Linked DNA regions of Alligator mississippiensis. The protein of the gene in region 2 interacts with the protein of the main gene of each other region in a pairwise test. Links are inferred from orthologs where the notes say so. Each region holds a gene or a part of one and is shown on either strand. Other genes may lie near its edges.

The links.
Region 1: the proteins of EIF3E (region 2) and C2H4orf19 interact in binary tests that used the Homo sapiens proteins (3 or more experiments, as listed by UniProt). The two-hybrid records come from large-scale screens. The link is inferred for Alligator mississippiensis from reciprocal best matches to the Homo sapiens genes EIF3E and PGCKA1.

What each region holds. Positions count from the first base shown.
Region 1 is NC_081825.1:49,322,004-49,332,878, forward strand, and holds the start of C2H4orf19 (uncharacterized protein C4orf19 homolog), read left to right. Parts: upstream 1-5,525; 5' UTR 5,526-5,617; intron 5,618-10,875. UniProt on the Homo sapiens protein: Acts as a tumor suppressor. Acts as a tumor suppressor for colorectal cancer cell proliferation by targeting KEAP1/USP17/ELK1/CDK6 axis.
Region 2 is NC_081826.1:32,213,141-32,224,155, reverse strand, and holds the start of EIF3E (eukaryotic translation initiation factor 3 subunit E), read right to left. Parts: upstream 4,302-11,015; 5' UTR 4,275-4,301; coding exon 4,185-4,274; intron 1-4,184. UniProt on the Homo sapiens protein: Component of the eukaryotic translation initiation factor 3 (eIF-3) complex, which is required for several steps in the initiation of protein synthesis.

The DNA of each region.
Region 1 (10,875 bases), on a different chromosome or scaffold from region 2:
TCACAAAAAGTACCATAGAAAAGCTCATGAGAAAATAATTCTGTTTTCAGAGTAGGGTTTGAATAACATACCATAAAAAAGGCATGGGTCATATACTTAACAATAATGAGAGAACTATACACTGAACAGCTTCCCATTAGGTAGACTGAATGGGGCAAGGATTCTGCCAAAAACTTGGTAAGCAAGCATGTATTTAAAGGCCATATTAGGAGGTCTATGCACAAGGTAACCAAAGGATTACACAGTTACCTTATTTCTGGCATATCCTAATTTTTGTGTGCTTGACTTTTCAACCATAATAACAGGCTTTAAAAATAAGGCAGTTGTGTACAATATGGATGTTTAAAACAAAGACAAGAACACAAAAGAGAGCATGAAGGATCAGAGTGCAAAACACACATCTGTGATTATCAGTGTGGGCAAGAGGGTCCACAATCTGACTCTTTGGTTTGAGTTTAAATAAACAGTAACCAATTCTTGTGTAAAGTCAGATCCACCTGCAGTTACTCAAACTAAGCAGCTAAATAGCACCTTAATACACAGTGAGTACATCTCCATCAGATGCTTTACTTCTGATTAGACCAAATTATTGCTCAGTAAGCATCACTGTTTACATGTGCAGATGTTTACTGCACAGTAATTTGGTCTAATTGTGAGTAAATTTGCTACCTATTGTCACAACCCAAAGTTGTGAGTTTTTGTTTGTGTGTGCTTAGGCAACGCTAAATTATGTTCCCGCTAAAATTACAGCTTCCTTGCACGGCGGAGTTCTCTGCTGCGGGAGAGAACTCCGGTGCAACGGGGAATTTCCCGCCAAATTTGCAGCTTCTTTGCAGGGTGCATTTCTTTTGCATCTCAGAGATGCACGGTGTAAAGGAGTTCCTGCCATTTGTATGGGAGTTCGCGCCAAATTATTGGCCAATTCTGAATAAAGGTACACGTGGTGGCTAGCTATTGGCTTGCTAGCCGTACAAATGCTTGGGTGGTTTCCGCCCAAGCCGGAGAGAGAGGAAACCTGGAGAGACAGAAAACTCACCAGGAGGAGGAGAATTCACGCTGTGTGAAGATTTCTAAGCGATGTGGACCCTTACGGACCCAACGCACCTCTCTTAAGCAGGCAACAGAGGTCTGATCAGCCTCTAGCCTCTCCCCGTCGCCAAGCGCTGTCCTAGACGTATCCCTATCCTATATACCCAATTTTCAGATCCGCGGAGCCTTAACAACTCCGTGGTAGAGGGAACCGAACCAAGCCCACAGAGCTTTAATAACTCCGGGGAAGATTAGTGCCGTACGAACCCACAGAGATTCAGCCACTCCGGAGGGAACCGAACCCACGGAGCCTTAACAACTCCGGGGGAACTGAATCCATGGAGCCTTGACAACTCTGGGGAAAAGAGATGACTTGTCGTAATCCTCCAACGGGGATTCAAGCAGAGCTGTGCCTGGAAAGCTATCCAGCCTACACCACTACTTCTTTTGGTGTAAGTAAACAATCTTTTAATCAACCACTACGCGTCCGTAATCAATTCTAGCTCGCCGCGGTCTTCTCCGGCCCCGCGTGCCCTGGCTGCTGGCCACAGCCCGCGTGCGCAAAGATGGGCCCCAGCTCGCCCCCGGTCGGCCCGCACACCTATAAATACAAGTAGCAAATTTACTCATGCTTAGTCACTGCACAGTAATGCATGTGTAAACACTGACCAGGAGCAAATTTGCTGCTGACCAGTCCCACCACTAGGGGGCCACCTATAGCCCAGCACTCCCAGGGCCCTGGGGCTGGGAGCTTCTCCAGCCTCAGAGTTGGGGTGGCTCTTTGCCTGCCTCAGCCCCTAGCCCTTAAAAGCCTGCAGGGACACTGGGGCCCTAGGCCACCTGCAACCAACCTATGGCCACTGAGTGTCACTGCAGAGGCCCTAGGCCAGCCATAGCAGGCTGCCCACACCCTGGTGCCACTCCCTGGCACCACCTCACTGCCCAGCTGTCAGGCCTGTGCCGTTGCATTGTGCTGGGGACTGCAGGCACCTTCCAGGCCCAGCATCACCCTGGGCCACCTGAAGCCAGCCTCTTGCCACCAGGTCCCACTCCAGCTGGCTCCAGGTCAGCCACAGCAGCCTGCCTGGACTCCGCCGCTAGTGCCTAGCACACCCTCACCACCTGCCTGCCTGTCCCATGCCATGCATGTGCACTGGGCACTGCATGTTCCTGCCACGGTCCACCAGCACCAGGACTGCTACATGGATGCCCTGCAAACCATCAAGGGAGCCATGCTGGCATCATCCCCAGTGGCACACACTGCCTCCTGGGGCTGCAACTGGTCCCAGGAGGAGACCACAGACTTTGCTGCACTGTGGGGAGAGGCTGAGATTGCACTGTGGGGAGAGACAGGGTGACAGCCAGCTGGGTGTCCGTAGGGAGGGGCTGCCATATGGTGGTGGCCTGCCACACCAAGTACAAGCAGACATGCTCTAGGAGGCCTTGGAAGGTGGCCCAGATCATGTGAAGGGACTCCAGCCACTGCTCATTGTCCCAGGTGTTCTGGATGAGCACATGGACAGTCCCAGTGGTGGCATCCAGGAGCACATCAGTGGCATCCCTGCTGGGGTCCAGGAAGCAGCAGCATGGGGACAGGACACCTGGAATGGCACAGTGAGCCAGGCCAGGTGGCTGTGCCACACAGGGTGAGGGTCACCAGGGCTGAGACTGACCTGCACAAGGTGGCAGTCCCCGCGGCGGGTGAACAGGGTGAGAGCATGGTGGTGAGCAAAAACCCAGGGCAGTGGATGTTGCTCCTGGGGCCTGAGGGTGCAGCAGCCATGGATAGCAGGCAAAGGCTGTGGTGACAGAGCCAACACATGCTGCCACCATGCTCTGCTCCAGGCCAGGGAAGCATGTGATGGCCACCATCAGAAGAAAATTCAGGCTCATTAAGGCACTCTCCCAGGTACACATCTATACATGCACATCTGTCAGGAGCAAATTTGCTCCCAATGGGAGCAGTTCAGTCCAGAGCCACCCCTATCCCTCTGCCCTGCTCTGCCCCCTGCAGCAGCCAGGAGGAGCTCCAGGCTTCCCCAGGTGCCAGCACCAGGCTAGCAGGGGGGTCAGGCTTGAACTCTAGAGAGTGGGGGGAGCTGTCCAGGATTGGGGAATAGCTCCCAGCCATGCAGTGCTCAGGATTGCAGCCCGGCAATGTGGCACTGGCTTGGGTCAATGCCCTGTGCCCGAGCATGGAGGTAAGCAGTGCTTGAACCATGGGGGGACACATGGGGGAAGCAGCGCTGGGACTTGGGGGGATATGTGGAGAGGAAGCAACACTGAAAATGGGGTCAAAGAAGGGAGACACAGCAAAGTAGCACCAGTCCCCAACACTGCATTTCCCACCTCACCCCTTGTCTCCCCTCCAGTCCCAGTGCTGCTTCCACCCCACATCTTCCCCCCAGTCCTGGTGCTGCTCAGCTCCCAGCTCTCTGCAGGCATGGGCAGGGAGTTGAAGCTGACTAGGGGACTAGTCAATTTTCCTTGGGCAGGGGCAGGCAATTATTTTGGGCGGAGGGCCACTTACTGAGTTTTGGCAAGCCATCAAGGGCCTCATGATAGGCAGCCAGGGGCAAATAAATATTAATTTTCTAAATGTTTTAGGGGCCCTGTGCGCTGGATAGAATGGCCTGGCAGGCCGCATCTGGCCCTCAGGTTGCATTTTGCCTACCCCTGGACTAAGGTGTGTGCTACACATGCAGCAGCAGGGCTGAGGGGACTGGGGACTAACAAATGATGCATTAACCTAATTTAATGTTCAGTAAGTCCTGTACACATGTAAAAGCTGATGATTTATTGGGCATTAGATTAATCTAATGTGCATAAAGCATTTCATGTAAATGCACCCAGTGTCTATCTAAAACACAATAGTAAAATAGTCACAGGAGTTAGAACAGGTGTGGGTACTGGCTATCTGACAAACTCCAGTGATTCTTCACTTCTTTATCAGAGCCTCCAGGTCAGATCCTCCTAGATAGTTTAATGTAAGCTTTTTAATAATTTTTATTATTATTTAAAACCTTCCTCATTCTTGCAATCTATTTTCAGGAGTACTAAAGACTAGGGAAAAGGAAAACTGTCAAGAACATCTGCTACAGAAGCTCTTTGAATTGGGGAGTCTGAAAGTTCAATTATGTTCAGCCCCTGAACAACATACTTCCTCTGTTTAAGTCAAGGACATCCAAAGCATTTTTTTTTTTGTTAGTTTATTTATAGGTCTAGGCTTTGATTATGTAGCAATGGAAAGGAAAATTGATGCTAGGTGGCGCAGTTGTTTTATCCACTGCCTTTCCAAACGGAGCTCACAAATGCAGTCTATTGGGCTCACAAGTGAAACAACTCTTGTTCTTAAATCTTTATAATCCCACTGAGCACAAGAAACACCATGATGGAGCAAATCTTGAGCAGAAGTCAGTAGATTGCTTGTACAAGCAGAATTTAGCTCTTTGTGTTTTAGTATGATTGCCATTCTTTTCTCACAGGGCTACAATTTACCTACGTACTAGATCACTAGGGAGTTCACAGAGTTCTGTAATCCAACATACAGCTACATGTAGCTATAGATGTATTCTAAAACACAGAAGCGTGTCTTCCAGGACCATACCTAGAATTATCAGCCTTATTGTCATAAGCCTTAAATTTAAAAGACAAAGAAATAATTAGTTAGAATATTCCTTATTATTTATATTAATATGAATCTTGTCGGATTAGACAAATACAAGGTCTTGGACACACACCTATGAAACAAGGGAATGGCATTGTTTGATGCAGCCAGCTCTTCCCAAGACTCAGTTTACAATCTCCAGGTTCATCAAGGGGCAGTATTATAGGACCTGAATAGGGAAAACTGATCTGACTGGCTGCTAGCAGGTATCTCTGAAAATCTCTGGTCTGGCACTCCCTCCCAGTTGGAGAGGGGTGAGTGAGGGCTCTCCTTTCATACCACATTTGAAAATACCTCACCCGGAAGACAGTAGTTCTAGGAAAGTCAGTAACTTTTATGGACAGCCCTGATATCATACCTGTAAGTACTTATTTTAGATGCAAGTCCTCTGAGTAGCACCACCTAGCACACCAGTCTACACTTAAGTACTAGGCCAAAGTACCTGAACAGAGAAACAGAATTTTTAGCAACTTTGTTCGGCCCAATTTCTGACTTGGGGGGAATTTTAAATATACAATATAGAATTGCAATACTATTACATCAGCTGGCTTGGAATTGCTTTCTTTAAGTGCCTGTTTCAGCAAAGGAATCATTTGGTACATTTTCTTTTCTTTTCTTTGTTTTTTTACCCTGACCAGAAAACAAAGAGGTTTGTCAAGTTTTTTTCCAGCTTGCAGGTAAAGGGTTACAGATTCTAGGAAGTTTTAAATGCAAACTTTAAAGGATTTTATTTTCATCTACAGTCACATGATACCTTAATACCCAATGACACTAACAACAGTGTCTCATTAAGAGGTCATGCAAACTCTCAGATAAACAAGGCATTCTTACATATTTAACATTCAAATGCAGAAGCCAAGCTAAGGCATGGAAGATTTTAATCAGAAGAGCTGCACTTCCTGACCAACCCAAAAGTCTCAGGTAGGAAAAGTTCTTATTCCTTTATGTTTGTCTACATTCCTGATGTTAACTATATTTTCAAGATAAAGTGTTTACCAGGTTTTTGATCTTTTAGTTTTTAGATTAATCTTTCTAATAGTTTCAGCTGGAAAACATTTGAACTCCTTCTTTAATGTTGCACCTGTTGCAGAGGCACTATGTTTTCTGAATAAAAACATTTACAGTCCACTTAGTGGTAAAGCACAGCGGAGCAGATTGATTTAATTAAAAAAAAAGTCTGACCACCTAAAGCTAAGATTAATTTTAGTTATCCTTGTTGCTAAACCATTCACGTTGGGTTTTTGGTCGGGGGCAAGTGGGTGGTTGTAAGAAAAAAAAAAGTTGATACATTCCTTGTGCCTGAAAAAAGGAGTCTAAGCATTTCTGACTTTTTTATGCTATGAATTGCATATATCATTTCAGTGAATATGTATTTTAATGGATCTGGTTTCCCATGATTCCAGTTTCCCAATTCCCATCTCCTAAAAATCTGGTTAATTCCTCAAAAACTTGCAAGTTAAATACAACGCAGGTGAAGTTGGAAACCTCAAAATTCAAAAAAAGGAACAAAATATAGAAATGATGGGCGTGGGGGAACAGTTAAGACCACAACTCTTATTAAAATCTGGGAAGTCAGGTATATATTTTTGTATCAAGCCATATTCAGCAACACATAAAATGGCATAAGGTACCACTTACCTTAGTAGTATCAGGGGGGTCATGGTCTCATTATTGCTGCAGAATTTCTATGTACTGTGTCAGGCAACAAATAGACCTCTTCCCCATATGAAGACCTCTTTCCACACTTTATTTTTTTCTTCCAACAACATAATTGTTTTAGACAAGGCACTATCAACTCACCATTGTATTCCCTTTGCAGGAATGTAGTACCCAGACTTGTTTGACAACTCTCCCTCTAGTTTATCAAAAGATTGCCCCATTGGGAATTTCTCCTACTTAAAGCAACAAGCAGCAATGTTGATTTTCTCTAAATGCTATCCTTCTGAGGAAGAGAGGATGGTTGCTGGGAAGGCCCTTTCTTCAATTTATTGTATAAATATATTTTCTTGTCCTAACTACTATTAAGAGAGAGAAGCAGAAGATAATAATAATGTGTCACACTTAATTGTGCTCTTCAGCCAGCTGTCAAAGCGCTGTCCAAAGAAAACTACCGTTACCCACATTTAATACATGAGGAATCTTTAAGCCCCCTCAAGCTTATCAACTGCATTTTCAGAAGTGGACATAAGCTTGAACTTGCTTCAATTTATGGATTTCTAATTTGAGATACCCTAGGCCTAGTATTCAAAAAGGCAGAAGAAAAATCAGTCCCAGAATGTGTTGTTGGATTTCCAGAAAACTTGTCAAAATAGGGTCCACTCTTAAATTCTGGCTAGAAGCAACTACCATAAATCTACAACACAACTCTGGGGCAAAGGCAGGAATGGAGTTCAGCCAGCCAGGCATTCCCACTCTGCATCCTGTATTAAGCCCTCAGAAGCACAGTGCAGCTGCTTCGCTGCCCAGATTGTCAGGGTAATGAGTATTCAGTTTGAGAAGCTTACTCGGAGATACTTGTTAAAGCTATGACTCAAGGCAGTTGCTGTGCACTATCCTATATTCACATATTAACACTGTTCCAATGTGGTTGATCAGCACACAAAATTACTGTTTAGAATGAAAATAGGGCAATGAAGACTTATCAGTCTGAAGGTATATTCACTTTTCAAGAAGGATGGGCTGATTTGCAGACCAGGGACTTTGAGGACCCCCACTACTCCCATATGTCTGCTCCTGTAGTCCTATACCCAAGCAAGACTTCATGAGTAGACCCCGAACTTCAGACTCCCCTCAAGGCTCCTGCTGCCTGCAATGGACTTAGAATCAATTAAGTATGTAGAACTGAAAAAAAAAAAAAGAAAAGAAAGTGGAAATCGATTTTTGTCATCAAATAGCTGTCTTACTTAATAACATGCATTTCAATATTTCCAGATAAGATCAGCCAAATTATAGGATTTGTTGCTTTCACATAAATATTCGAAAAACACCAGTGCAACCAGCAATTTTGCAGAGATTTGTTTGTGAAGAATAAAATAATTTTTTTTAGCTGTCAGTACCAAAATACAGGAGCCTTTGGTTTGGTTTGGGTATGAGTTGGCATGATAATTATCTAAATGAAATTCTGGTTACCTTAAAGTAGCAGTATATGTTTATTCAAATATCATTCTGTGAACATTACCTTATAACAGCCAGGATGTTATCTTGAGCCAGATCCTAAATGGTATGAATGGGCACAGCTGCACAGATTTCAGAAAATTTTAAATTAGATGAATATCTAAAATATTTATGAATTAGATTACTATCAGCCCCATCGGAAGAAAGAAGCATTCAGCTGTGCATCTCATCTAGCATCTGAGAATGTGCTTATTTTTGTGTTACTGCTGTGCTACCTACTGTTAGCAGTAGTATAATCACAGTAACAAGAAGCCCCAGTCATAAGCCAAGAGCCCATTGTTCTAGGCCCCATACAAACACAGAACAAAAGATGGGAACTTCAAATAATATAAGTACATCAGTCACAGTAGGTCAGGTTTTGTTGACAACTTCTTTGATGTAAAACTAGAGTAGGACCATTAGTTTCAGAGGAAATACTTTAAATATATACTATGATAGGTAAGAATAGAATTTGAACCAAAGTTCTTAAGATCACTGCAGAAAACTTTTCATATAATACAAAGTGCATAGTCCATGATCCATGGGAGGGGAATGTACCAACTCTAAGACTGGCAGCCATCCCACTGTAAATGGAATGGAAAAGGAGTACTGCATCTTTAAATACCAACCGCAGTATATTATGACTCTTGCATTTTAAGTAATGTTTGTACAGATTGGGTGGGTCATGGAAAACCAATATTTAGCAGCTCAGTAGTTAAATCTGCTACATGTTTAATTACGTAAAATGTTCTTAGCGAGTTTGAGAGGTATTGTATTAAATATTTGCACTGGATATTCAATATAGGTTTTCCATGGCCTCAGTCATAAAACATACAGAACTTTACTTTTAAAAAGAAAGAGCCTGAACTTGGATTGAGAAAAAATACAACAATCACATTAATTTCTAAGAACCCAATAGAAATGATATATAAACACCTGGCTTCCTTGTTAGAGGTTCCGCTGTTCCTTATACCAGTAATTTAACAATACTTACGGTAATCAGCATTGCTTTGATTATTGCATTTTGATTATGACATACTCCCATTTAACTTCATGCTTAGTAATGTCAACATGGAGTCAGCTGCAGAGGTGACTCATGGGGCTGCCCTGGTAGATGCACATAGACCAAATACTTCCTTCTGGTTCAAAGGCAGAGAAAAATTCTTGGAAATTAATGAAACATGGACAAACTCTAAAGAAGGGTCTAACAGACAGACACATAATCAATGTGACCCTCAAATAGTTAAAACAATATTTTTTCTGTCTTGTTTTTACAGTAATAGAGTTATCAGGGAACAGCATTATTATAAATGTCAGTCAGTTATGGGCCTAGAAGGCCCATTGGGCTAGTGTAGTTAAGACACTCCAACTTCCACTGCCAGAGACAAACAAGGAAGCAAAGTGGCTAGTATTCCAGTCATCTCTGACTACCTGGACCAAACAGTTAGATATTTACTTACAGTTGGACTGACAGAGGGTAACCTTCAGCACAAATCAACAGCAATACTACATCTTGATTGTAGAAATGAAGCAAAATCCCTTTACCGTTCTGTGGCCATGCTTTTAGGGTGTGAGCAAGTGTTTGCTGCACCTTTACTTCACTTTACTTTTAGCCATCTACACCTAGACTGCAAACAAGCATGTGCAGTTCCAGGAGTAGTGTGCGCAGGCATTCACTGCTCCTGGGAGCCATGTAGAAGCCTGGTGTTAGTAACTCAGGGTAGGAGGAAGGGCAGGCAGGTTGCAGGGAGGGTTGTGGGTCCAGGGGGTGGGGAGGTTGGTAGAATGAAGGGCGGGTAGCATGTTCACAGGGCAATTTGCTGGTTAGGAGTGATGGGGGGGGGAGGGGGGAAAGAGGGCTAAAAATAGCTCACTCAGAGGGGGCATTGGCAACATGTAGGGGGTGCATGCACACCCCCTGAGATTGGCTGTGCCCCCCGCAGTCTTTAAACTTTTCATCTAAACAAATGGGTTCTCCAGCAGCACAGTGCCATGTAATCCCATCCAGGAGTGTTGATTCAATACTGACTGACAAGCAAAGGAGCCCTACTTTCTGAATTATGAGCACCCCATCAAGCAGCAAAAAAGTTTTCTTCAAACCAGCAGTGACCTGGTCAGTTTAGGAGAATTAATGAGAATACAGCCCAATAGTACTGTGTATAGCAGCAGGCAGTGCCAGTAAACTGAGAGTGGTTAATTGTTACTATACCATAGAACTCAAATACTGGAAAGCAGGAGAAAGAATCAGAGAGAACAGGATTGAAACATGAATCATTACGTGTTTTTATTGCTCTAAGGTCTATGTCTAAATAGCTAAAAGAGAGAATTGAAGGAAGGATGAAGAAAAAATGTCATGAGGTTACTACAGATAGTAACAATCTCTCCATGGTTCCAGTTAATAGCTCTCATTTAGATGTGTGATGAAATTTATATTTTGTTCTGTACCGATCATATTGCCTGAGGAAGTATGAACTAAATACTTCTTTTGCAGTAACAATAGAAAGCAGACAGACAAAATCCAAAGAGTTTCTCTTTTTATCTGACCTTTTTTCTCCTTCAGTTTTTATCCAGCAGCTTATTTAACTCCCCATTCCTTATTCAAGTCATAAATGTCCAATGTAGAGCCACAAATGCTTTCTGGTGATAAAGACTTTTTATAGTTCCATGCTCCATTGTAAATTCACATGCAACCTCATCTGGTGATTCAGAAGGAAAATTGAAAATATAGAACTCCCCAAACTCTGTTCTTTAATATCATTCCCCACTTTGGAATAATTTCCATTCTCTAAAAATTGAGCTGGATTTTGACTGAGTATGGCAACTTAAGATGCGATTAACTGGCATGGCAGAAGTGCAATTGTTGGGATCACATATCAGATATCATTGAGCCCTTAATTTAACATCTGTAAATGGCCTTAGACTAGTCTAAGTTAGCTTATGGCACATAAATAGGTCCAATTCCTAACCATAACAATCAACTAACTCCTACTAACTTCTAAGTTTGCCTGTCAAATCTTGTAGTGACA
Region 2 (11,015 bases):
TCTAGCTCAACATCTAGTCTCTGGTGGACCAGCCTATATTCCACCCTTGATCCCAAGCGTCACCAGGGACCTCAGCTGGTGGCTTCTACAGAGCTATCACCATGGGCATGTATCTGGCATGTTTCATGGACATCCCCCAACACCTGCCCTTTCTGCTAAGAGAGAGAGCCTGTGGTGCAGGCCAACTTTGAGTGCACTAGGTAGCAGCCCTTTTCCACCTCCTCTGGAACCTCCTGCAGAGGTTCTGGCTGCACTTCTCCCTGCACAGGTTCAAGGAAGTGATTCTCCCCCTCTATGCGGCACTGGTCAGATGGCAGCTGGAGTACTATGTCCAGTTCTGGACACCGCAGTTCAAGCAGTATGAGGACAACCTGGAGAGGGTCCAAAGAAGAGCCACTCGCCTGATTAGAGGCCTGCAGGGAAGGCCCTACAAGGAAAGGCTAAGGGACCTTAACCTCTTCAGCCTCTCCAAGAGAAGGCTGAGAGGGGACCTTGTGGTGGTGTACAAATTCATAAAGGGAGAGCAACATGAAGTAGGCAACGATCTGTTCACCAAGGCATCCCCTGGAGCAACAAGGAACAATGGCCATAACCTATTAGAGAGAAGGTTTAGGCTGGACATTAGGAAAAAGTTCTTCAACAGGCAGGGTTGCCAGAATCTGGAATGGGCTCCCAACCGAGGTGGTGCTCACCCCATCCTTGGGGGTCTTCAAGAAGAGACTGGACAGGCACCTAGCTGGGATCACATGACCCCAGGGTTGGTGACTCTTTTCTTGCCTGCCAGGGGCAGGGGATCAGACTAGATGGCCCACTGAGGTCCCTTCTGACTCTATGAATCTATGCACCTTTTCTAGGGGTACACTAATAGAGAATTTTTGGGCTGATACCGATGGCTGATTTTTAATGAGCTGTATCGGCCGATACTGATCCGATATGCAGCTGGGCAGCTTGGAGAGTGGCGTCTGGCTGGTAAGTCTGCTGTGGGGGACGGGGTGAGGAGTGGGGGGCAAGAGGGGTGTGTAGGGGGAGCAGATCAAGGCCCCCCGGGGTGTGGGAGGGAGTGGGGCTGGTGCTGCACAGCTGGGGCAGAGCAGGGGACGGAGCTATGAACAGCTTGTCTGGGGGACATGGCTGGGGGGCAACTCCTGCTGCTGCACACACTGTTGGAGGGCATGAGGGGCATTCTGCATGCAGGGTAAGGACGGGCTGCTGCTGTGGGTTGGGGCCAGAGGCAGCACTGAGCTCTTTCTGGCAGGGGGAAGTGCAAGGGCTGTACTCAGGGCATGCTGCACTGCGGCTGCACGTGCACGAGGCATTTATTGGTGGAATTATTGACCACATCAGCCAAAAAAAGCCGACGGCCAGTGCCAATCCAATATGGGACCAAAGTATCAGTGCACCTCTAAACTTTTCTTTTATGCACTTCCCATCAATGGCCCCACCAAGTCCCAGGGCCTCCTGATCAACCTGCTCCTGGCTCTAGCTAAGCTAGCCATGTAACAGATCAGGAAGAAGTCTCTGGCTGGGGGGAACCCAAGTGACTTTGGGATTGTCTTCTTATCCCTTACCATCCATGTCTCCAGGCAGTTTCACTGGGTAGAGTCCGCTGGCTCCCTGGACTTGAGGGTCAGTAGGTGCTGGCCAGCATGCTTACTTGGTGTCCCCCAGTGGATTACTCATAAACCTGACCCACACTGATGTCCCTGTATTTTCTTTAGTTGTCCCAAGTAATCAACTGTTCCCTGATTAAGGGAGGCTTATAGTTCCCTTGGTGGGCCTAGGTCAACATTCCTCTGGGCATAACAAAAAGGCCTGTCTCCAACAGTGACAAAAGTGGAAGCTAGAGGAAGAACATTGAATTGGTCAGATGTACAATAATTTGTTCTCTATCTATTACATTCCCTGACACACCATTATTGGTTTAGAGATGCCAAAGGAAACACCTCCAATTCTTCTGCTCAAAGCTGTTACTAGATCTATCATCCATGCATTTCATAGAATCATGGAAAATTAGGGTTGGAAGGGACCTCAGGAGGTCATCTAGTCCAACCCCCTGCTCAAAGCAGGACCACCCCCAACTAGATTATTCCAGCCAGGGCTTCATCAAGCCCAGTCTTTAAATTCTTCAAGGATGGAGACTCCACCACCTCTCTAGGGAACCTGTTCCAGTGATTCACCACCCTCCTTGTGAGAAAGTTTTTCTTAATATCCAGCCTAAACCTCCCTTGCTGTGACTTGAGACCATTGCTCCTTGTTCTGTCACATGTCACCACTGAGAATAGCCTAGCTTCATCCTCTTTTAAACCTCCCTTCAGGCAGTTAAAGGCTGCTATCAAATCCCCCCTCACTTCTCTTATCATGCCATCCATCTCTAACACCTGTAGCAATGAATTTCAGCAAGTTAACTACTTGTTGTGTAAATACTTTCTCTTGGTAATTTTAAATCTGTCTTCTACTAGTTTCAGTGGGTGCCCCCTAGTTGTAGTATTCTGGGACTTGGTGAACAATAGTTCCCTGTTAACTTGATCCGGCCCTTTCATGATTTTATTAACCTCTATCATACCCTCTCCTCACCAAACTGAAGAGTCCTAGCCTTCTTAATCTCTCCTGGTAAAGCAACTGCTGCATACCTCTGATCATTTTGGTTGATCTTCTTTGTACCTTTGCTAATTCTACTACATCCTTTTTGAGATACAAAGACCAAAACTGTATAGTATTCAAAAACTGGGTGCACTATGGATTTGTATGAATAGTGTGCTGTGATGAATGTGTTCTCCATTTTTTTTTTTAATACCTTCCTTAATAATGTCCAACCTTTTATTGGGTTTTTTGTTGCTGCTACACACTAAGCTAGCATTTTTGAAGAACCATCTACAAGGACTCCAGAGTCTCCTTTCCGACTCACAACAACTAGTACAGAAACCAGTATTGTGTACGTATAGTTGAGGTTATTTATCCCCAGGTGCATTACCCTGCACTTCCCAAAACAGCCCTCAACTACTTTACCGCTAGTAGGAGTGTATAATTTGGCTCATTATTACCTTCTTTGTTGAAGATGTAATGTTATATGCAGTACTCAGTACAGTTAAATGATGACAAGTCTGTTTAACAAAGAATATTGGGCTAGATAGCCTTTAAAATTATATCTGGTCTGATAATTTGCCCTCGGTAAGTACCAACAGGCCAAAACACTGAACATTTTGAGGAGTCCAACAAGGAAAATAGTGAACTAATTTTAATTTGGAAGTAAAGGCATTTTTGGCTATAGTCATTCAGAAGATGGGGACTTCCATAAAAGTAAAGAAACCACCATTCAAGGACTAGCACGAGTAGGTTAAGACCTGCCCAATAAGAATATATAATAATATAATACACTCAAAAGAGCTGACGAGTCAATGAGACCATCTAGGGAAGTTGTATGGAGACCAGTAAACTTTGCAATCTTTAAATCGACAATTTAAACACAACAAGAAGTTAAACGGAGCTGACTGCCCAGTCACCGGGTGTACGGCAGCTTTACTGACAGCAACCGGCTCTCAAGCTTTTTGAACTCAACATAACACTTGTGAACTGACTGGCACCCAACTGCAAAAACAAGGGTACCGATTACCCCCATCACTTCCTTGCCAAGGGTCCTGGCAAGAGGATCATCCAGGCAAGGACAAGCCTGAGCCTGGGTTTATTCATCTGCTTATCACCTCACACCTCAGGGAACCCCCCCAAAAAGAGGCATCAGCACCCTAGTGTGCCCCAGCACCTGTGGCCTGAGGGCCACGGGCTTACAGCCATGCAGTGGCTGTGTGTCTAATGCACCCCACACTCCCGCGATGGAGAAGTCTGTATCCCGGATCACCGCATCTGTAGAAGAGCCTGCCAGGAGCGACAGGCCCCCCGGGGGCCGCGCGGCGGAAGGGAAGCAGGGCCAGGCTCCCACAAGCAGCTGGAAACAAATGGCAGGGCCCGCGGAGGACGTGGCCTTCCCAGGGTTGGGCGGCAGCCGCGCTCCGGGTTTACTGCAAACGGCCGCAGGCGCCTGGGGAAGAAGGGGCGGGAATCACCCCTCCCCCCCCGGCCCAACACCCACGAGGCCCCGCGGCCTCCGCTGCCTTTCCCGGCTGCCCCGCGGGCCGCGCCGCGTATGCGGGGTGACGGGCTGGCCCCGGGCTCCCGCGCCGCCATCTCACCTCCTTCACGGACAGGAACTCGAGCAGCGGGAAGACCAGGTGCCGGTCCAAGAAGTGCGCGATGCGGGTGGTCAAGTCGTACTCCGCCATCTTGCGAGGGGAAAGGGGCGGAAGCGCCGGCGCGTGACGCAGAGACGCGCCGTCAGGAAGCGGCCAGGAGCGCGCGTGCGCACACGGGTGCCTGGCGCCAGCTAGGGGGCGGGGCCAGGGGCGCGCGTGCGTACACGGGTGCCCGGCGCCAGCTAGGAGGCGGGGCCAGGGGCGAGCATGCGCAGGCGGGCGCCTGAGGGCAAAGGGGCGTGGCTTGTGCTGCCCTTAGCCTCCCTCTGCTCTGCTTTGCTCAAAGGTTGGAGTGGGACGCGCACGTGGCGGGGTGGGGGAGAGGTGGCAGGCACTTCTTCTCGGCGGCTCGGGCGGGATCTGTACGGTCATCCCGCGTGAAATGCTTCGAGTTGGCTGACCCAGGCCTCCCGCACTCACTGGCTACTTGTAGTGAACGAAATAAAGTGAAAAAAGACTTCCGTGCCTACTTGCTTGCCTATTTTTTTCAGCCTACGATAGTTTTTCAGCAAATAGGATCATTTCATATTTAAGAGCTGACCACGCTAGGCGGGAACATCCTTGCTCCCAGAAGAGAGTTGCCAACCATGGGCGACTGGTGCCACTTTGGGGGGAGGGGGGCACGTGCCCCACCTGCAACCAGTCCCTCTGACCAGGGGTGGTCTCCCCGCAGCCAATCTTGCTGCCAGGGGGCTGGGAGTGGGGAGAATGGAGTTCCCTTTTAAGCATCTAACAAAAAATAATATCCAAGCTATAGCAAGTTACAAAATAAATAATGACATTCGTAAACCTTCTGTACTTGAGTTGAACTGCTGTCATAGCCTTTCCCATCATGCTTGACTTCCTGACAGAGGTATCATCATCTCCAAGTAATGTAAAAAACCTTAAATGTCATGTTAGGGAAGAAGGATGGCCAATTGGTAAAGGTCCTGGCCTGAAACCTGCAAGACTGGTTCAATTCCCTGTCTTGCCACTGACATCCTGTGTGATCTTGAGTTGACTTACAGAGGGACCCATGGTAGCATGCCTATCATGGGTTCCATCAAGGAGACTTTCAGTGCCAGTGACAGGAAAAATACATTGTTACGGTGCATGTGATGTGAATGAAGTTTCATTTTTGTAGCAGATTTTTAGATTTTAATGTAATTTTTCCCTTTTATACATTAGAAATAGGGATTTATCCAGATATCTGTGCGGGTATTAATAGTTAATTGATAAGGTGCTAGTCGGTAGCATTCAAATGTGCAGCATAGCTTTTTAGATGTATATAACCATAGGACTTCTTATTGGGCACTGCTGATGGCTCTTGTGTACCCAGTTCTTTATAGTCCCAGCCTCTCCAGTCAGAAAGAGGGTAAGAGAATGATGAAGCAGAGCCCAGGGGTCCTTTGCTGATGACATACAAAGGGAAGCAGACAGAGAGCTGTCCCCCATTGCTAAATTGAGACACTGGGAAATTAAAATCATTCTACCCCTAATCCTCCAAGTCTATGGGGTGATGGGGAATAATATAGATTTCAGATTGATTTCAAGAAGGTGTGAACCAGGGAATGTAAGCAGACCCAGCGAAGTGCAACACGGCTACCAGCAACTTTCAACAACTTTGTAATATGCTTGCATGATCCAGTAGGATAGACATACCTTAGAGAAGTTTCACTCATTCCTTTGTGATTATGACTTTGGCATCCTACATTATTAATTCCTACTTGTTATGAGGCAACATGAGCTGTGGTGATATCACTACATAGGTAACACCAAGCTTGCCGTCTCTTCCAGTTCTGATCCAGATGCTACTATATAGCCTGTTCTGCCCAGCGCCTGGTGGAAATTGGAAACTGAATAAAAATCACATTAAAACTAACCTGAAGTGCCCAAAAGTTTGTCCAACAGCTCTCCCAACTATACAGCTGGTCCAAAAAAAGCTGGTCCAAAAAAAGACATCGCAGAAAAATCCTTGTCTATCAAAACTAACATGAGAAGCAATTCTAACTGGTAGGGACAAAGAGCTTTGGGGGTTTATAGGAGTGATATTGTAGCCATGATGGTCCAGGAATTATGAATTATGCAAGAAGCAAGGGTTTTTGTGGGTGATATCTTTTATTGGACTAGCTTCATGGTTGGGACAGACTTAGACAAACTTTCAAAGAATGTTTCACATTCAAGAGCTTATCTAAGTCTTTCCCAATCATGAAGTCAATCCAATAAAAGATACAACTGACAAAAAAACCCTTGAGGATCTATTGACTTCTATAAATAGTCCATCAATTCGTGGTGTCTGCCCAGTCATTTCTACAATGGGCAACAACTTGAGAAACTTACTATTGCACTTCTTACAGCTTCTAGCCTTGAAGGTTACATCCTCCATCAGAACAATATTTTCCACCTTCAGCTTATCAAGGAATTTCTGTACTGCCTGTAACATAATTATTCCTCCTTGATTATCCACAACATCCTTATGACCATTTATCTGGCCTGTTGCATTGGACTCTATTGAGGAAAATCTGTGAAAGCCACTTGGTAGCTAATCTAGACTGTCCTCCTGGTTGCAGTGAAACAACATAAGCACAGCATACTCACACTCTGCTTCTGAAATTCAGGGTACCATTTACTTCTTAAAAAGTCCTACCTAGACTACATCTAGGTCACTTTTATGCCTACCCCACTATCTCCAAATGACTGTAACTTATGCTTGATTGCAGCTCGGTACGCTAAAGATACCATGCTCCTGGATGCTGAAAAGTCAGAACATTCTTTTTGTTAGGCCTATAACTGTGGAGCTTGCTTTTTCTGGAAAAGTGCTTCTGCCTGAACCTCATTTATAAAGAGTTATGCCAAAGCTATCCCAACTAGTTAAAAGATTATGTAATATATGTAGTGATCTTTGGGTTCAAAGAACTAACAACAACATTTAATTGTGGAGCAATGAGCAACCTCTACAGACCCTTTGTCTCTCTCTCTCACTAACTAGCATAACTAAGGGACAATTTCCCAATGTCCAACTTCAGTAGTCTTCTAAGTAAAGGAGTGTCTCTAAATTACAAATGTTCATATCTGGCTGACTAAATTAAAAGACTGTGGCAGCAGGAGATCACAGTAGATCTACTGGGTCCATTAATGACTTAATGTAACCATTATAAAGGGACTCGGATATCACAATAAATAGCTTCCCAAACATTAATATAACAATAATGAAAAGCAGACATGGAGTTTAGAAAGGGAGGTACTGAAGCAAGAAGAAAGGAAGGAAGTTATGTTTATAATAAAAATGTTTTATGTATTGGAGGAGTATCTATCTTCCTGAATTTTTTTTCATTATGATAAATTACTTGGCATTTGACCTTATAGTTTATCCATTCTGAAACTAGATGATTGCCTTATAAAATGCAGATCCTTATTACTTCCAGTTAATTTCTGCAGCTGCATGGGTACCAGGCAACAAAAGAAAAGAAAAGACAATAAACTGTTGCAAAGGGGTGGTTTCCACCCTCTAAAAAATATTAGAAAGGCATACCTGATGAACAACTAAAATGTCAGGATTCATAGCATGAAAATACCAGGTCACTGTGCTTAACATATGTGACATCAAACCAGGCATCAAATTGAGAGGCACTAACAATCATTGTTGAAAATCAGCTAACCTGAAAAAGGAAGGGTGAAGGCAACCTTTTTCCTAAACATTCAGCACTCACTATTCAACACTTCTGATAAACTTATGAATTACATGATTTTTAATTTCAAGATTTAAAGTGAAATGGCTGGGCTGCATCCAGTAGAAACTCCTACAGCTGCATGTAGATGACCCAGAGAGATTCATGATAGAATACTACAAGGTATGTCAGTGTTGAAATATCCTACGTGCTCACTGTGTGAAAATATGCCAATGAGTCAAAAGGATAAGAGTGAAACTACTGGAAAAACTGATTTGAATGATTTTGAAGGCTGTAAATCCAGAGCTACATAAATCTTTTTGACATTAAGATTTCAGCTGAATTATTAGTGTGTCACCTGCAAAACATTATTGAAAACATTGATCTTGATCAAACACGACCTAGCTAAGGGTGGAACTCTTTTCCATAGTACAAAGTGGTTAATTCTTACACTTGTTTGCTTACAGTGTTGGCAGACTGGGACTCCCTATCTTCTGGCATACAGAAAAGTCCATTGGCAGATCTATAGGATTTTGAAAAGGCGGGTGCAGGCAATGTGGTATATCATTACATATAACACAACACACAATTTTCTCCGGTTAAAAATAAACTAGAAGATTTACTAATATGTTAGGGGCTCAACACTATATTATTCAGTTTAAGATTAAAGCAAAAAATATATAATATTATTGGAATAGCACTTATTTGCTAGATTACACATTAAGTTTCAAAACACAACAAACTAGGCAAGGATAAGCAAAAGTTATTGTTTTATTAGTCCTGTTGTCATTATAGTTAGATGTATAGCTCTTGCTCAGATTCATAAAGCTAACTCTAGCCACCTTGAGCATCTTAACATTTAACACTTTGCTGAGAGTCATTGCCACGCCTGAGTTAGTGTTCATCTGAGCCAGGGGCAGGCAATTATTTTAGGCAGAGGGCCGCTTAGCCAGTTTTGGCAGACTGTCAAGGGTCGCGTGGGTAGCCTCGCCCCTTGACAGGTGCCGTGTCTCCTGTTCATCGTCTTGGGACCAATGTCCTAATGTCTTGGGACCAATGTCTGAGGACCAGCACTGGTGGGGCCCAAAACGGGGTGCAGGCTAGCAGGGGTCTGTGGAGCTAGGCTGGGCTGCACCAGCAGGGAGAGGGGGGAGCTGGCTCAGCTCCATAGAGCCCCTGCCAGCAGGGACCCTGTACTCTTGCCGCCCTGCTCTAGGCCCCGCCAGCGCTGGCCCCAGGACACTAGTGTGGATCCCGCGCTCCCACTGACTCCGGCGCCCACTTACTCCCAGTGGCCACTCGCTCCCAGTAGAAGCGGGGGCAGTGCACAGCCCCAACTCCCTGCTCACCAGTAGGGAAGGAGCTGGTGTGGAGTGCAAGGAAAAGCGGCCCCTTGCCCATCCCGTGGCTGGCGCTCCCTGCTGCAGCTGCTCACCATCCGCGCAGAGCTGTCCTGAGCAGGCACAGGCAGCCCCACGCGGGCTGCTAGCAGCTGCAGCACGGGGTGCCATCCACGGGGTGAGGGAGGGGCTGCTTTTCCCCACGCTCAACACCAGCTTGAGCTGGTGTTGAGCCCCCGCTGCCAGCCTGGGCCCCGTGCTGGCTCTGGGCTCAGCTGCTGGGGCTGTGCCGCAGTGGCAGCAGCTGCTCAGCACAGAGGAAAGTGGCCCCACCCCGTTTGCCATGCCAGGCAGTGTTTGCCACCACCACCTCTGTGCTGCCCAGCGCACAAGCTCTGGGCAGGCAACAGCAGCAGCAAACACTGCCCAGCACGGCAAGCAGGGGGACCACTTTCTTCTGTGCCAAGCAGCTGCTGCCACCGCGGCGCAGCCCCAGTGGGCGAGCCCGGAGCCGGTACGGGGCCCAGGCTGGCAGTGGGCGGGTTACAAGCTGGTGGGGTGGGTTACAAGCTGGTGCTGAACACAGAGAAAAGCAGCCCCTCAGCTGCCCTGTGGCTGTCGCCCCATGCTACAGCTGCTTGCAGCCCGTGTGGGGCTGCCTGTGCCTGCTCAGGACAGCCCCGTGTCTGCTGCGAGTGGCTGCAGCAGGGAGCACTGGCCACAGGGTGGGAGAGGGGCTGCTTTTCCCCCGCACTCAACACTAGCTTCTTCCCTGCCTGGGGTCCTCCCCTGCTCTTCCCCCCCACCACCCCCGCTTACCTGAGTTTCCTGCACTGGTGCAGCCATAAGGAGTCACATGGGCCCAGGCCCCTGTTGTGGCTCCTGGCTGGTGGGGTGGGGCTGGGCAGGCTCTGCTGTTTTGAGGACCCCCTGGGGCTTCCCCTGCGTCCTACTGCCCCTGGCTCCTGTCATTTTTTACAGGAACCAAGGACAGATAAATATTAATTTTCTACATTTTTTAGAGTCCCCGCAGGCCGGATAGAATGGCCTCATGGGCCAGATCTGGCCTGCAGGCTGTATTTTGCCCACCCCTGATCTGAGCTAATATTACCACAATATTCTTATTAATGTTTTTAACTAGAAATAAAGACTGTGAAACAGAAGAGAGAGATTATCAGGACAGCAAAATTGAAGTGAAATTTATGTTCCATTAGTTAATGGAACATTAATTCCATTAAAAAGGACAGAGGCTCATTGACACCTGTGGATTGAAGAAACATTAGCAGGAATCAGGTAGAATATAATGATCCATGACATCAGTTGAGTCTTTTAGCACTTTCTATGCTATGCCCCTTCCAGTTAGTTTTAAATTCTGGAGTTTTTCATTAAGTTATCATGGAAACATTATTTTTGCAAGGTTTGTCTTTATTGCATCAAATTATTACAATGGCAGGGGGTTGGACTTGATGATTTGCTCAGGTCCCTTCTGACCCAACCAACTATGAAACCAACTATGAAACTATTTTACTTCAGTGCTTGGGCTCCTATTATAACTATTGGGGGGCAGGGGGGGCTGACCATTTCTTCCCTATTTCTTTACAAGAGTAAGTGGTTGTAAATTAGTAGTAATAAGCAGAGCTGGCTGAAAAGTTTTTTGGTGAGTTATATATTGAACAGACAGCTATTCACAAATTGAGGTGAAATCTGACAAATAGTTTCAGTGAAACAAATCCAGAAATGTTGAAAGTATTAATTCCAATATTTCCTGCATGAAGCAAGGCTAG